2 linked regions of the Arabidopsis thaliana genome follow. The protein of the gene in region 1 interacts with the protein of each later gene in a biochemical or structural test. Each region holds a gene or a part of one and is shown in the gene's direction. Other genes may lie near its edges.

Evidence for each region. Proteins that work in one complex are often made in the same cells at the same time.
Region 2: the proteins of UBQ1 (region 1) and SUVR1 form a complex in vitro, tested with the Arabidopsis thaliana proteins (one study listed by BioGRID).

The regions. Positions count from the first base shown.
Region 1 is NC_003074.8:19,502,260-19,508,909, forward strand, and holds UBQ1 (ubiquitin extension protein 1), read left to right. Parts: upstream 1-3,119; 5' UTR 3,120-3,408; coding exon 3,409-3,511; intron 3,512-3,598; coding exon 3,599-3,685; intron 3,686-3,770; coding exon 3,771-3,873; intron 3,874-4,070; exon of another isoform or gene 4,071-4,112; intron 4,113-4,252; coding exon 4,253-4,319; intron 4,320-4,395; coding exon 4,396-4,422; 3' UTR 4,423-4,673; downstream 4,674-6,650. Other genes in the region: AT3G52570 (alpha/beta-Hydrolases superfamily protein), read left to right, coding at 55-195, 281-536; AT3G52580 (Ribosomal protein S11 family protein), read left to right, coding at 1,065-1,067, 1,339-1,458, 1,536-1,581, 1,978-2,063, 2,160-2,289, 2,375-2,442; CWINV2 (cell wall invertase 2), read right to left, coding at 4,821-5,015, 5,100-5,214, 5,310-6,579.
Region 2 is NC_003070.9:1,043,255-1,052,729, reverse strand, and holds SUVR1 (histone-lysine N-methyltransferase SUVR2-like protein), read left to right. Parts: upstream 1-2,865; 5' UTR 2,866-3,112; intron 3,113-3,252; exon of another isoform or gene 3,253-3,520; 5' UTR 3,521-3,533; coding exon 3,534-3,716; intron 3,717-3,750; exon of another isoform or gene 3,751-3,814; coding exon 3,815-3,877; intron 3,878-3,971; coding exon 3,972-4,010; intron 4,011-4,099; coding exon 4,100-4,231; intron 4,232-4,307; coding exon 4,308-4,578; intron 4,579-4,724; coding exon 4,725-5,743; intron 5,744-5,852; coding exon 5,853-6,106; intron 6,107-6,193; coding exon 6,194-6,260; intron 6,261-6,350; coding exon 6,351-6,401; intron 6,402-6,534; coding exon 6,535-6,631; intron 6,632-6,734; coding exon 6,735-6,763; 3' UTR 6,764-7,132; downstream 7,133-9,475. Other genes in the region: PRP39 (Tetratricopeptide repeat (TPR)-like superfamily protein), read right to left, coding at 1-184, 461-570, 693-927; TOM22-I (translocase of outer membrane 22-I), read left to right, coding at 1,614-1,898; AT1G04040 (HAD superfamily, subfamily IIIB acid phosphatase), read left to right, coding at 8,911-9,338. UniProt on the Arabidopsis thaliana protein: Probable inactive histone-lysine methyltransferase that acts as regulator of transctiptional gene silencing independently of histone H3K9 methylation.

The DNA.
Region 1 (6,650 bases):
GCAGAGTATAGAATCCAACCTTGGTGTCACTCAAACATTGTTTTCTGATTCTAGGTGGCTTGTTGATCGTATGGTCGAACTTGGGTTTTCAAGATCATTATCCGAGTGGATTGGCAGCAATCTCAAGAGATCTGGAGACTCAGAGACATGGACCTTTAACCTTGACGGAGCTGTCCAAATGTTCAACTCTTACAGGTTTATTTCCCTTCCTAAGAACCAATGACTATGATTATATTATGAACCTTCCTCGAGATTTTGACTTTTTACTTTCCTACTGCAGAGAGACTTCTTACTGGTCTTTGCTAGAGAACCCGCCAAAAGAGACAGAGATAAATTTTGTGATTGCAGAAAAGAGTGACCGATGGGACAACGATACAACCAAGCGGCTTGAAACAATAGCTAACCAGAGACAGAATGTAGCCGAAGGGAAGGTTGCGACTCATCTTCTTCGTAACTCTGGCCATTGGGTACACACAGACAATCCAAAGGGACTCCTAGAGATTGTGAGTCCCAACTTCTTCTCCCCACACGAGTAGACGATGCGCTACGAAAATGGCATTAGTCTTTGCTTACAATTTCACTCCTGTTCAGTATCTATATGCAGAAATAGCAAATCCAATCGCAACTATTTTGACGATGCGCGGTTTTTCCCGTTTGTGTTTCCTAATTTTGCATTAGCATATCCTTTCAACAATGTACAAACGTTTAGGAGGATCTAATAACATCAATAAACTTATCACATTCATAACTTTATACACAAGATTTGAAAGACAATGACTGCTACGTTAGTACGAGGCACAACACCAGTAAGAAGACTAGAGACGATTAAAAATCCAAGATGCTCAAAAACTAGCACTTTTGCTCACTTTTATGGGCCGTAATATGTTGGGTCTGTATATATATTGGGTCTCAATTAAATTATCCATAAAATCACTACTTTAACCCTAACAAAAATTCAGACTATTAAAGCAAATTCTGATCCGTCTCTTTCGCTAGCTAAAGGTAAAAGGCGGAACAACAAAAGAAACCCTAGCTTCCCTTTGTACCTCTCTCTGTTCCAAACCATGGTAAGTTTGTCTAAAGCTTATAATTAATTTTCATGGATTTAGTGATTAAGAAGATATATAATCTGTAAATCCATTTCTGGTATTGTGTGGTGGTCTGAAGTGAGAAAATGTTTAATAAGCAATCCTTATTCTTCGAATTTCGATCTGAGATCATATGAATTTTCTGAGACATTGGATTTTTTTTGTGTGGCTCTAGCGTTGAGTTATCAAATTGAGAAGTTTTTATTAGATATTGCAAATGCATAATGCTAGTTTTTGTTTGGTTTTGTAGTCGAAGAGAAAGACCAAAGAGCCAAAGGTTGAGAATGTGACTCTTGGACCAGCTGTTCGTGAAGGAGAGCAAGTCTTTGGAGTTGTTCACGTCTTTGCTTCATTCAACGACACTTTCATTGTGAGTGGCTTCTTTATTTTTCAAGCAAAGTTAGATTTTTATGTACATTTCTGAACTTCTTATATCTGCAATTGCAGCACGTGACTGATTTGTCTGGACGGGAAACACTTGTTCGCATCACTGGTAATCATCTCTTTCAACTCTCACTCTCTAATCCTTTGGTGATGATCCCTTTGTTAACTTGTATGCGGTAGTCTCTGTTGAGTGTGAAATGAAGTTCTTGACTGCCTAAAGGTTCTGCTTAGTATCTGCTCTTTTAAGTTTTTTCGAGGAATCCGTTGATATCTTTATAGAAATTGCTTTGTTCTTGACGGCATCAATGTTCCTGCTTATAGAACTAAGTTAGTTACCATTGTTATTAGTATTATGGTCTTCTCTATAGGGTGTGAGCTGAAGTGTCTTTAGTCTTTGTTCGTTTAACTTTTGAGGAATTCCTTTTGTTTATCTGTTTGGAAATTGCATTGTTCTTAAATAACAATGGGTTGCTAAAATTGCTGTTTCGATTTCCTACTTCTGTAGGTGGAATGAAGGTGAAAGCCGACAGAGATGAGTCCTCACCTTATGCTGCTATGCTTGCGGCACAAGATGTTGCTCAGCGATGCAAGGTAAAGGCAAAGAAATTGCATTACCAAGCAGACAACTTGATAATCTTTTATGTTTCTATATTTAATCGATTTGGTGAATATATTTATGCAACACAGGAACTTGGAATCACTGCCATACATGTGAAACTCCGTGCCACTGGTGGTAACAAGACCAAGACCCCTGGACCTGGTGCTCAGTCTGCTCTAAGAGCCCTTGCCCGTTCTGGCATGAAAATTGGTCGCATTGGTAAAACAGCAGCAATCTTCAACTGTAATTGTTTAATTGCATCTTTGATTGAATAAATCTCTGACATTGTTCTTGTTTTCCTCAGAGGATGTGACTCCAATCCCAACCGACAGTACCCGCAGAAAGGGTGGAAGAAGAGGAAGGAGGCTCTGAGTTATTTGGCCTCTCGTTGGATCTCCTTATGTAGCTTTCTCAATGTTTCATTTTGTTTTTTCTTAGTTTGAAAAGAGTTTTGGAATTACTATGCTTTGTTATAGTCTCAACTCTGAACAGCTTTGGATCTTTTTCTGTATGACCATAAGATATTCAAAAATTGGTAGTCATTTTATCTCACAAAAAAACCTTGAATTTGTGCTGTATGATTTTGTAAAGTCTTAGGTGCCAAATCTTTGATTGGAGTTGATAAAATATTTTTATTTGGTTGTAATTTTGTAATATCCCGGGATATTTCACAAATTGAACATAGACTACAGAATTTTAGAAAACAAACTTTCTCTCTCTTATCTCACCTTTATCTTTTAGAGAGAAAAAGTTCGATTTCCGGTTGACCGGAATGTATCTTTGTTTTTTTTGTTTTGTAACATATTTCGTTTTCCGATTTAGATCGGATCTCCTTTTCCGTTTTGTCGGACCTTCTTCCGGTTTATCCGGATCTAATAATATCCATCTTAGACTTAGCTAAGTTTGGATCTGTTTTTTGGTTAGCTCTTGTCAATCGCCTCATCATCAGCAAGAAGGTGAAATTTTTGACAAATAAATCTTAGAATCATGTAGTGTCTTTGGACCTTGGGAATGATAGAAACGATTTGTTATAGCTACTCTATGTATCAGACCCTGACCAAGATCCAACAATCTCATAGGTTTTGTGCATATGAAACCTTCGACTAACGAGAAGTGGTCTTTTAATGAGAGAGATATCTAAAATGTTATCTTAAAAGCCCACTCAAATCTCAAGGCATAAGGTAGAAATGCAAATTTGGAAAGTGGGCTGGGCCTTTTGTGGTAAAGGCCTGTAACCTAGCCCAATATTAGCAAAACCCTAGACGCGTACATTGACATATATAAACCCGCCTCCTCCTTGTTTAGGGTTTCTACGTGAGAGAAGACGAAACACAAAAGATGCAGATCTTCGTGAAAACCTTGACCGGCAAGACCATCACTCTCGAGGTCGAGAGCAGCGACACCATCGACAATGTCAAGGCCAAGATCCAAGACAAAGAAGGTATCATTCTTCCTCACTCAATCTGGATTCTTCTCTTTAGCTTTTTGAAATTCAGATCTCTTATCATTTACTTGTTTCTCCTTTAAGGAATCCCTCCGGATCAGCAGAGATTGATCTTCGCCGGAAAGCAGCTCGAAGATGGCCGTACTTTGGCTGACTACAACATCCAGAAAGGTACGAAATCATCCGAATCCTTCTGTTGATCATTTCGATGATCTGATTGTATAAACTCTAATGGATTGTTATCATTTGTAAACAGAATCTACACTTCATCTTGTGTTGAGGCTTAGAGGAGGTATTATTGAGCCTTCCTTGATGATGCTTGCTCGTAAGTACAATCAGGATAAGATGATTTGCCGCAAGTAAGTTTCAATTTCTCCCTAAGATTGTAGTTTTGTTGATTAATAGTTCAAAGTACCAAATGTTTATTAGTGTGTTAGGGTTTTAGTTGTTTTAATGGGAATTAACTTAGCTTCTCAAGCCTTATACAATGCGTGTTGAGGTTATAAATGTTCCCAATATCAAACATTTCCATTCTCTAAACTTTGTCAGCTGGTCAAATTTCTCATCTTTCCAGATGATTTTCTTGAATGGTACATTTTTGCAAATGGTTTTGAAAATGTGTTGAAGCTTGTATTTTTGATTGCTGAAACATCTTGTTTGTTGGATAGTTTGTCATCTATGGTCCGATCTGATGTCTCAATGAGATTATTCTAATGTAAATTTCGCATCTTTTGGTAGGTGCTATGCTCGTCTTCACCCAAGAGCTGTCAACTGCAGGAAGAAGAAGTGTGGTCACAGCAACCAGGTTTGTTTTTGTTACTTGTTTCTTTTTGGTGTTTATCAGCTGAAATGATATCTGAACAAACTTTTTTTATTTGCAGTTGAGGCCTAAGAAGAAGATCAAGTAGAGAGACTCTTATCAAGAATCCCATCTCTTGCTTGCTTTTTTTTGTTGTCTTCCCTTTGATAGGGTTTGTTTTTCTTGTTTCAGTGACTTTCTATGTTAAAAGATAATGTCAGTAAAAGGATTTGGTTTTCTATTATTCTGAATCGATTACGGAAGATTCTTGCTTAATTCCAATCTATACAAGTATCGTGAAATAATGACCGTTTATGTGATTAGGAGACGTGTTTCATTAATAAAATATAAGATCAATACATTGTTAGTAGTGATAAACTATGTACAAATTGTATTGATTGTAAAAGAAACACAATAGGTTCCTTTTTTCTACAATATATTGTGACAGACTCTCTGTTTTAACGAATGAATTAAATTTGTCAACGAAAAAATTAAAGAATGATGTGATCACTTTGCACCTTGGTTCATCTTCAGAGGCTTCTGCATGTTCCATGCATTGAGGCTCTCTACGGTCACAGGTTGTGAGCCGTTGTTAAAGACAAACAAATGAGCTTTTTCTCCTACTGCTTTTGTCGGATACACTCTAGATGTTATCACTGTCTTTCCTTTTGCTCCAAAGCTCTCCACAACCGAGTGATCAATCTGCAAATTCACTCAATTATGTTACCTATTTGCTTCTCTATACAAGAGTAATATTCAGTAAAATGATTTAAGTTTGTGACGTACCAAACTCCTTAGAGAGATCTTTCCGTCAAGGAGACCGACATCCACAAAACCAGCAAACGATGGTTTGTACATCCTCTCCTTGGCGTCAGTCCCGGTGTCTTTTTTGAGACTCGAACTGTTGATTTATTGTGATTAATGTTAGACACTCTCAAATTGTAATTAACAAAAATCATATATAAATAATTGAATTAGTGAGTTAGGAAAACATACGGCTTGGCGTCAGAGCACATGAGAACCTTAGGCTTGTTGGATGCGGCATCTTTGAAGACTCTAAAGAAAACAGGAGTGTATTCTTCTAAGTCAGATGTAGCCAACGTGATCAAACCAAAAGGACCAACTCCACCATTCACATTCGAACCTTTCAAGTTACATAACTCTAGTGGTTTAGTTGCGAAGCTTTCGTCAAACTTTTCGGCCTTCTCTAGATTTCCAACGTTGAATGTCACATCCACATCCACCTGAGCAGGAGTGATTCCTTGGACCTCAAAGCGTTGGCCCATCTCCATTTTCTGGTTGGTCATTTGGACATTCTTTCCTCTCAATGACTCAATCTCTTCAATAGGCCAAAACACGAGTTGCTTACCGCTAGAGTCAAGCAAGATTGTTCTTGGGATAAGCTGAATTCCGGCCCAACCCTTCACGGTATCATCTTGAACGGTGTCGGATTCATTGGCCCACCCCCAAAGAATTCTTCTGTTCGTCTTGTCATCAAAGAATGTCTTTGACGCATAGTAGTTACCATAATCAAATCTCAAACCATCCCAACCGTCAGGAGTGTAACCGTCTGGCCTGTAACGATCCTTCTTGGTGTCATACGTTCCAAGAGTGTAGTACTCGTATCTGGTCAAGTCCAAACTAACCTTCAACACATGCTTGGCGTTTGGACCGTCGTAGCTGAAGTCCAAACCGTTTTTCTTGTCGGTTACGGATACCGGGAAGAAATCGGGACATTCCCACATACCGGTTTTCTTTCTTGAGTGGATAGGACGTTTGCTTTTGACCCATTTTTTGAAGTCACGGCTCTTGTACATATAAGCAATTCCTCTGTTCTTTCTCTTTGAGCCAACAAGCATTCTCCAATACCCATCTTTTTTGTTGAACCAAGCCGTGGTCGGGTCACGGAAAGCGGATCCGTTCTCGCCATTATCGGGTTTTACGATGGGGTTATCGTCTGGCTTTATCCATGTCTTGAGGTATGGGTCGGAAAGATCTTGTGGAATGGCGTAGTTTTGAATCTGAGTCTGGTTCTCGGTGATACCGGTGTAGAGGATAACCGGTCCTTTTCCCGGTACGTGGGTAGCTGAACCGGACCATGTACCGTTGATGTCGAACCATTTGGATGGGTAAATGGCTGGTTCAAGGGCTTCCCAATTGATCAAGTCCTTAGAAACCGAGTGAGCCCACACAATGTTACCCCAAACCGCACCTTTGGGATTGTATTGGTAGAAGAGATGGTAAACTCCCTTGTAGAGCATTGGAGCTGTTGCAATTTTTGAATATTGTTACATGCAATCATATATATAATGTTTTTGTCATTAACTTATAAAAAGG
Region 2 (9,475 bases), on another chromosome or scaffold:
AATAATGCAACCAGATATCCACTGAATATGTCACTCCCAGCACTGCTCTTTCATAAACCTCCACGACTTTGTCCATTGCCCCCACCCGAGCCTCATGATCGGCAAACTTTTTCCAATAGCCATAACACAGAGGAAATTCAGCTAAGAAAGCATCATAGACCTTCCGGATTTTTGCTATATTGTCCTGTAATCAGGGCAGCAAGGAAAACATTAACAATCTAGAGCAAATTAATCAAGTAGCTGACAGTAAAAGTTAGAAAAAATATACCGAAAGATGACAGCGACTTATGGTGTACAAATAAAAACGGAATACTCATTCTTAAGATTCAAATAGCAAACAAGTTTTGGAAACATAATCCAGATGACAAACATTTACGTCACCACGAAGGTCAGAGGACTCAGAGCAGAGTACATAGGGAAAACCGGAAAAATAAGATTCATTATGTAACTCCACACATACCTGCGCTATCCTCTCCGTCTCATCAATCAAGGCAGTCCAAGCATTAAACTCTAAAGAATTTGCCCTTACAATATTCCACAAGCGCTCCTCTTCCGTTGAGAGTGTAGAGCCTGTAACAAGAGAGAAGGAATAAGTAAAGGATTATCATCATCGAAGTTAAGATCAGGTTCTAGTGACGCCTCTTAGAATCAATATGTGCTCATACAAGCTTTCAAAAAGAAGAAGAAATTACCAGTATTGTCTCCATGCTCCGCTGCTGGAGCAGTCACAGCCACATTATCTGTTGCACTTCCGTTCTCAACTGGCGCAGTACCATTGACCAAAGAATCATTGTTGACCGAGTGTGATGCATCAACAATTGGTGCAGTCTCTTGCCCGGTCGATTCCACAGTAGCAGCAGAAGCATTATAGTCTCCATATGGAGCAGAAGTATAACCCTCGGAAACCATGGCCTCGCTGTCACCCATTACTTTCTAGAACAGACTTCTCAAACGCAGAAAACTACATTCACATAAGAACAGAATCAGTTTAAAGACACAGAAGACTGATACTAAACTCATCGAAGGATTTCATTAAATGCAAGCAAATAAGATTAGCGTAAAGCAAAATTCACTCTATCTTCCTATGAATCACAACCAGGAAAGCATGATACGAAGTTTCTACAATAGGACAAAAATCTAAACCACAACCGAAACAAAAGCAGAAACCCGACAAAAATGAGCTAATGTAAAACCCTAGTTTTGTTCCCAATTCGTAGAGACGAGAAAAGGATATGTACCTCGGGAACTAAAGAAGATGCTCGTCGCTTCTAGAACTCTTTACCAATCAGTGAATGCTATCTTCGAAAGTAGCTTCAATGTAAGAGAGCTCTCAGCTTTTGATTTTGGTGTGTTTCGTTTACACACGAAGAGAGGGGGGTATAGGGTTAGAGACGACGAACCAAAACGAAAGGCGACGCGTATCGTGTTGGTCGGCGCACACTGGAACTCAATCTGGCCCGTTAAGTAAATGGGTCATTAGATTTCTTAATGGGCCTACTGACCCGTACATTATTAAAGCCGAGGATCCCCTTTCAATTTTATTTTTCAAAGTGAAACCCTCGTCGTCGTCTCTAGTCTGAACTTTTTCAATCTCTCTCGATTTCATTCAATCAATGGCGCCTAAGAAAATCGGAGCCGGCAAAGGCGATTCGAGCATCTTGGCGAAGATTTCAAACTACGATATCGTTTCTCAGGGAAGACGCGCCGCTTGCGATGCCGTCTACGTGTCGAAGAAGCTGTTAAAGAGCACCGGGAAGGCGGCGTGGATCGCCGGTACGACGTTTCTCATCCTTGCCGTGCCTTTGATCTTAGAGTTGGAGCAAGATCATCGATTAGGCGAGATAGATTTTGAGCAGGCGAGTCTTCTCGGAACCCCACCGGTCGGTGCGATGCTCTAAAGTAACTTTAGAAACCCTAATCCGTCGATCATATCATAAATTTGATATTATCATGCTTGTTTCTGCTACTCGATTAGAAGCTGTTAGTTTCCTTCCTTGTGTAAGATTAGGTTTACTCATAAGGGATTTGATGAATTTCAATTGGCTATTTTGAAGATTGTGTTTGAGCAATCTTCTTCTAATTTATTTGGCAATTTATGATGTGGGCTGAGATTTTCTCCGTACAAGTGATTATTCTTTTAATCTCATAGCTGTGACTCACTTTGAGTGGAGCATCAATCTTCGAAATTTTATTTGGCAATCTGGTTAAGAATATAGGTAAGGATCTTTGGTAAACTTAGCTGTTTACACTTGTCTTAATTTCTCGTCAACATTTATGCCATTTAGTTCAAATTTTGATTTGATCATCACTCCTTTACATGGCAAGGCCTGTAAATAGACTGCCTAAACCTTGATGATGCTTCTTTTGTTCAGCAAATATCTTGTTAGCATCACTGCTCTTTTCGTGACAAAACCTTTGACTCCCACTTTTTCAGTTTTCAATGTGTATTTTGACTCTGTTTGCATGAAGGGTTTTGGTTTAGCTGACTTGCTGATTACTGAATCTCTTGATTTTATTCTTCCCCTATCGCCTTCACACTTGAACCAAAAGAACTATACAAAATTCTACTTTAAACCAAAAACTGAAATCATACTTGAATTCCCTGGGTTATTCAATTGTAGTAGAACAAAACGTTGTCTGTCCTGGACCCAATCGCTTAAAAGAAAAAACATATGTTGTGGGCCGTCCCATACTTGATGAAGCCCATATGATTTAAAGGAGTTAAACCAGTCAACTCGAAGGAGTAAAATCAGTCAATCATACTGACACTGCATAGAGAGAAAGAAAGGTTCACTTTTAGTTTGTCTTATTCGCCTCATACAGAAAAAGTCAATGACGACTCCCAAACGCTGCGTTTCTCAAATCTTTGAAGACTCTCCTTCGTGGAGAGTATACACTTTTCTTTCCTCACTTCGTCTTTTAAAGTTTCAAATTGTCGTCTTTCTTTGGACAGAGAGATACATTGATCAAAAATACGCTTTGCATAAGCAAATCTACCATCAGTTTTTCACTACATTCTCTTCTCTGAGGAAAGTCGAAAATCCGGTTCTCTCACTACAGAGTCTCACCCTCTTAAAACCCTAAATCAGTTTCAGAGTTGGTTCTTTTGCTTGTAAGTTCTTCTCATTTTTTCTGCTAAAGCTTCAATCTTTTCCGTTTCGAGACCTCTACTCGTTTTTTTTATTCTGGAAAATTGAAACGTTTTAGGGTTTTGGTACTTTGTTGTCCCTTCGGTTTTCCAAAAAAAAAAAAAAAAAAACAGAAAAAGTTCCAATTTTTTTGGTGGGTAATAAGTATTTGGTAATGGCTCTTCCTACATTTGTTTTTTTGTTTGCTTTCATCTCAAAATTCAGGGTCTTAGTCACATTAGTTTCGTTACACATCTAACTCTTTTACTCTCTTCTCTGGTTTCGCTCTTATTGGTGGGGCAGGAAGATGAAAGTTTCCACTTTTGTTACTTTGCTATGTTTATTTCTGAAGTTTTTTGAGGTTGGTGAGTGATTCAGCTTTGTTATTGCAGAAACTTGTTGAAAATGGCACCGAATCTTAGGATTAAGAAAGCCTGTGACGCGATGAAGCTTTTAGGAATATCAGAGACGAAAACAAGGGCCTTTCTCAGGAAACTTCTCAAGACCTATGAGAATAACTGGGATTTCATTGAAGAGGATGCTTATAAGGTCCTTCTTGATGCAATCTTCGACGAGGCTGATGCCCAGGTCTGTTTTTTCTGCTTAATCACTTTTTATTTTCTTTATTTGATTGTTTACATATTCTCACTTAGTCAGTTCTCTTTCTTTGATATGTCATATGGTAGTCCACTGAAAAAAATAAGAAGGAAGAGGAAAAGAAGAAGAAGGAAGAGGAAAAGAAGTCCAGAGTAAGTTAACTTTCTTTAATTTGATGACAATTTTCTGGTGTTTTTTGATGTTGTTTCTTCTCAAGGTTTTGATGATCTTTTTTTGTTTCTTTAGAGTGTAGCAACGAGCAGGGGAAGGAGGAAAGCTCCTGAGGTATACGACCTAAATATCTTTGTTGTTTTAGAATTTGTTATCATCATGAAACATTAACTTGTTTTTTTTTTTGGTTAAACCAAACTCAGCCTTTGGTACAAGATGAAGAGGACGATATGGATGAAGATGAATTTCCATTGAAAAGGAGGTTGCGCAGTAGACGTGGAAGAGCTTCATCTTCATCTTCATCTTCATCTTCCTATAACAACGAGGATCTCAAGGTATGTTTAGTATCTGTTTTTCGGGTTTCTTGGTCATATTATATAGCCTGTGTTTATTTTGTTTTCGGTGAAACAGACACAGCCTGAAGAGGAAGATGAAGATGATGGTGTGACTGAATTACCTCCGTTAAAGAGGTACGTACGCAGAAATGGTGAACGAGGGTTGGCAATGACTGTTTATAACAATGCAAGTCCTAGCTCCAGCAGTCGCTTGTCAATGGAGCCCGAAGAAGTACCACCAATGGTTCTATTGCCAGCTCATCCTATGGAAACGAAGGTTTCTGAAGCCAGTGCACTTGTTATCCTCAATGATGAACCCAATATCGATCATAAGCCTGTGATTTCAGGTATTGTTACATGAACTCAAGATAAAACTTAGTAATCTTTCTTTTATTGCTTTTTATGTGGTTGTGATGAGATGTTGAAACCTTTGCATTTTAACCTGATCTGTCTTTTGTGATGTTTCCTTCTGACACTTCTTTTCATTATTTAGATACAGGAAACTGTTCAGCTCCCATGCTTGAGATGGGGAAATCAAATATACATGTGCAAGAATGGGATTGGGAAACCAAAGATATTCTCAATGATACTACTGCCATGGATGTGTCTCCTTCTTCAGCTATTGGGGAATCAAGTGAGCATAAGGTTGCTGCTGCTTCAGTTGAATTAGCTTCTTCGACTTCTGGTGAGGCAAAGATTTGTCTAAGTTTCGCGCCTGCAACTGGAGAAACAACGAATTTGCATTTGCCTTCTATGGAGGATCTTCGGAGAGCAATGGAGGAGAAGTGCCTCAAGTCGTACAAAATTGTTCACCCCGAGTTTTCGGTCCTTGGGTTCATGAAGGACATGTGTAGCTGTTACATAGACTTGGCAAAGAATTCAACCAGCCAGTTGCTTGAAACAGAAACCGTATGTGACATGAGTAAGGCGGGTGATGAAAGTGGTGCAGTTGGCATTTCGATGCCGTTGGTGGTTGTTCCTGAATGCGAGATCTCGGGAGATGGCTGGAAAGCAATTAGCAACATGAAGGACATTACGGCTGGTGAAGAAAACGTTGAGATTCCATGGGTGAATGAGATCAACGAGAAGGTTCCTTCCCGTTTCCGTTACATGCCTCACAGCTTTGTGTTTCAAGATGCTCCAGTGATATTCTCGCTCTCAAGTTTCTCTGATGAGCAAAGCTGCTCCACTTCTTGTATCGAAGACTGCCTGGCTTCAGAAATGTCGTGCAATTGTGCAATTGGTGTTGATAACGGGTTTGCGTACACATTAGATGGGTTACTCAAAGAAGAATTCTTGGAAGCTCGGATCTCTGAGGCTCGTGATCAACGGAAACAGGTGCTGCGATTCTGTGAAGAGTGCCCATTGGAGAGAGCTAAAAAGGTTGAGATTTTGGAACCATGTAAAGGGCATCTAAAGAGGGGAGCCATTAAAGAGTGTTGGTTCAAATGTGGTTGCACTAAGAGATGCGGTAACCGAGTGGTGCAAAGAGGAATGCACAACAAATTACAGGTAAAACATTCACCTTAACTAACAATCTTTTACGTGTTTTTCTTTCATCTTGTTATATAAATCAATTAGTTTCCATTTTTGATCAGTCATCTTTTTTTCTTAATATCAGGTGTTTTTCACGCCAAATGGGAAAGGCTGGGGACTTAGGACTTTAGAGAAACTGCCTAAAGGGGCATTTATTTGTGAGTACATTGGAGAGATATTGACAATTCCGGAGTTATACCAACGTAGCTTTGAAGATAAACCCACTTTGCCTGTGATATTGGATGCACATTGGGGTTCTGAAGAAAGGTTAGAGGGTGACAAAGCTCTGTGTCTTGATGGGATGTTTTATGGAAATATCTCAAGGTTCCTTAACCACAGGTAATGGCTTCCCCTAAAACTCAGAACACCAATGGTGTTTCTCTCTATTTTAAACTGATGTTTCTTTCTGTCCTTTGATGTATGTAGATGTCTTGATGCAAACTTGATCGAGATTCCAGTTCAAGTCGAGACTCCGGATCAGCATTATTATCATGTAATGATACAATGACGGTCTCATATATAATCTTTTGCTCATATGTTTCTTCTGTTTTGGGGAAATTGTTTAAACTGTAATCTTTTCCAGCTTGCATTCTTCACAACAAGAGACATCGAGGCAATGGAGGAACTCGCATGGGTGTGTATAATTTCGCATATCCATTTTATATTAGGCTGAGAAGTTTCTATACCGATGAAAATGATTGTATATTCCTAATGCTTACTGATATCTTGATATACATTGATCTGATGTAACCCTTTCACATTCTCAGGATTATGGCATTGACTTCAACGATAATGACTCTCTAATGAAACCCTTTGATTGTCTGTGTGGTAGCAGATTCTGCAGGAACAAGAAGCGATCAACGAGTGAGTAATATCATCAGAGTTTGTTGATTCTGTTACATGGGACTGAGTAATATCAATCCTGCATCTCACTGACTGAATTTTTTTTACCTTTGTTATGTTCCAGAGACCATGCAGATTTTGAACAAAGCATGAGAGGCTAGTGAAGAAGAAAAGACGTGATGAGACCCTCTGTTTTTTGGTGAATGGGACTCTCCAAACCGGTCCGGGTTAATAGATTTTGTAGGTTGGGAAAAAAAGAAGCTTAAGTTGGGTATTGTGTGATCAAACTCTGTATAGCTCGAGGGTCCAGTGCCTTTTGTTTTAATTTAGAAGTTTGACCATCTTTAATTCTAAATCTCTCTAAACCACGTTCTTTTTTGTAGTAAACCATAAATTTCCGCACTGTTGAGGGCCAACGGATCCCTGATCGTAAGACTAGGAGTCTAGGATGGACAAGTTTTTACTTCTTACTTTTATCACTCAGTTTATGGAGATGGAAAGTATGATTGTATTGTCTTTGTGCATATGGTGTGTTCATCTAAAACAAGTGAAAAAAGCTAAAAAATTGCCGTTGAACAACTCTCTCACTATATATATAATCTATTTATGTATGAAATTTAATCAAAACGTGATTAACAAATTATAAACAAACAACTCTTGTCATGTTATGATCGGTGTTACTTAATTGACCATTCTACTTTTTGAATGTTATAATTGTTTGCTTAAGAAAGTAAGCTTTTACGAAAGTGGTATCCTAATGTATAACACGTATTATCTAAAAGATCAAAATAACGGGAAAAATGAGATTCTCATCGTTAACATTTTACGATTATTTTGACAAAATATGGCCAAAAGTTGTAGTAAATGTTTAACTTATTCAATTTTAAGCTGAATTGGCAGTTGAAAATAATAAGCATTTAATTGTAGTCCAACTGTGCATGATCGGTCGTATACGTGCTTTGCTGGAAAACCGAGTGTTTCTAATGACTTAATATCTATACTCTACTTATATTCAATTAAGAGATCCAAATTAATTTTCACAAATGCAGCATAGAAGAAAAAAAGAGTTTAGGATTAAAAATATATATGTGAAAATTTTTAAAAACAGTTATGAGTTGTTTTTTTTTTGTTTTGGTTAAAAATAGGTTTGAGTTGTTCATGAGCGTCATGTTTTACTTTTACCATTTCTATATGTATTTTCGTGTATATATTTAACAATATTTAAATTTTGTCGACATCTATCCTTGCCTTGCTAGCTAGCAAACCAACAAATCAATTTATTCAACGGTTTTATTTATTAAAATTAAAATCCATGTGCTGCCATTCCAACTCTTCAATCAATTTTGTCACCATAACCTTACCACCTCCTCTCTAGCTAGATCTATCTATCTTGTCCTTTCCATTTCATAATGCTAACAAGTTCTAAAAGAACTTTTGGTGTAATTTACTTTAGATTTTTGACTCGAAACTGCTATTTTCTTATATATGAATATTGTTCTTGTGATCCCATTTGATTTTTGGTGTCGATAGAGTCTACGTATATAACAATGTCTACTTTGAACATCATTTGGAAAAAAAACAAAAACAATTAGTTTGATCGTTTGATTTGAACTGTTAATAAAAGTAAGTTAAATAGCTGTTTGATTTTGATTGCATCAATTATTGGAACTACAATTATTTCACACTATCATCCAACTTGCTTCATGATGTATCCATTTCAAATCCTAAAAATTAATTTCCAACTTCATTTGTTAATTGCAATGTGTATACTATTTGTGCCGATAGTCAAATACATGATACATCTACAATTCTACATACATTATGTAATTATACACTTTGGCAAATATATCGCCACTAATCGAGGAAAACAATTGCTCATACCATCATACTTTTTTTATTTTTTTTGATAAGTTCATACAATCATACTTCTTGGCAAGTTGGCAGTTAATTATCTTTAATTTATCCAAATCTTTTAGTTTCACCCGCATATTAAGTTAAACTTTCATAATTTTGCCTCCCATAAAATGTTGGAAAGCTAGATCATATCGTGCATGAATGTATAGTAAACAACTATATATATTTTTAAAAATACTATAATGTATAATTACAACCAAATTATTATTTTATTTATGAAAAAAATAATGAAACACCAAAAACTTTGATTCAGATTTGTGTATTAATTATTTTTCTTTATTGTTAGGGCTGCCAGTTTGACTCTTCTACTTATAAAAGCCTCTTTACACACAAACACATACACACTTGTGATCAAAATCTCAAGATCCAAAACTCTTCTTTCAAACATGGACCGAACCATGTTTCTTTCCCTGACAATAGCCTCACTCTTGGTCGGAGTCGTCTCAGCTGGTGACTGGAACATCTTGAACCAACTCAGAGGACTCGGCTCATCGTCAAGCCAAAATGGTATCGTTTCTAAAGGTATCAAGACGGACCTGAAAGGATACTGTGAAAGCTGGAGGATCAACGTGGAAGTTCACAACATCAGAAAGTTCGATGTGGTGCCTCAAGAGTGTGTATCGCACATTAAGGATTACATGACGTCATCGCAGTACAAGGATGACGTGGCGAGAACCGTTGATGAGGTCATTCTTCATTTCGGGAGCATGTGCTGTAGCAAGTCTAAGTGTGACGGCATGGACGCTTGGATCTTTGATATCGATGACACGCTTCTCTCTACCATCCCTTACCACAAGAAAAATGGCTTCTTCGGGTAATTTATGAAATTCTCTATCTTACCCGGTTTAAGATAAACCAACTTGAATTGATGGGTGTTGTGTATACGTAACTGTACATATTGTTACTTTTTAGCTTTTTACTTAAGTGAATGCACTTTGGATCTGACTGAAC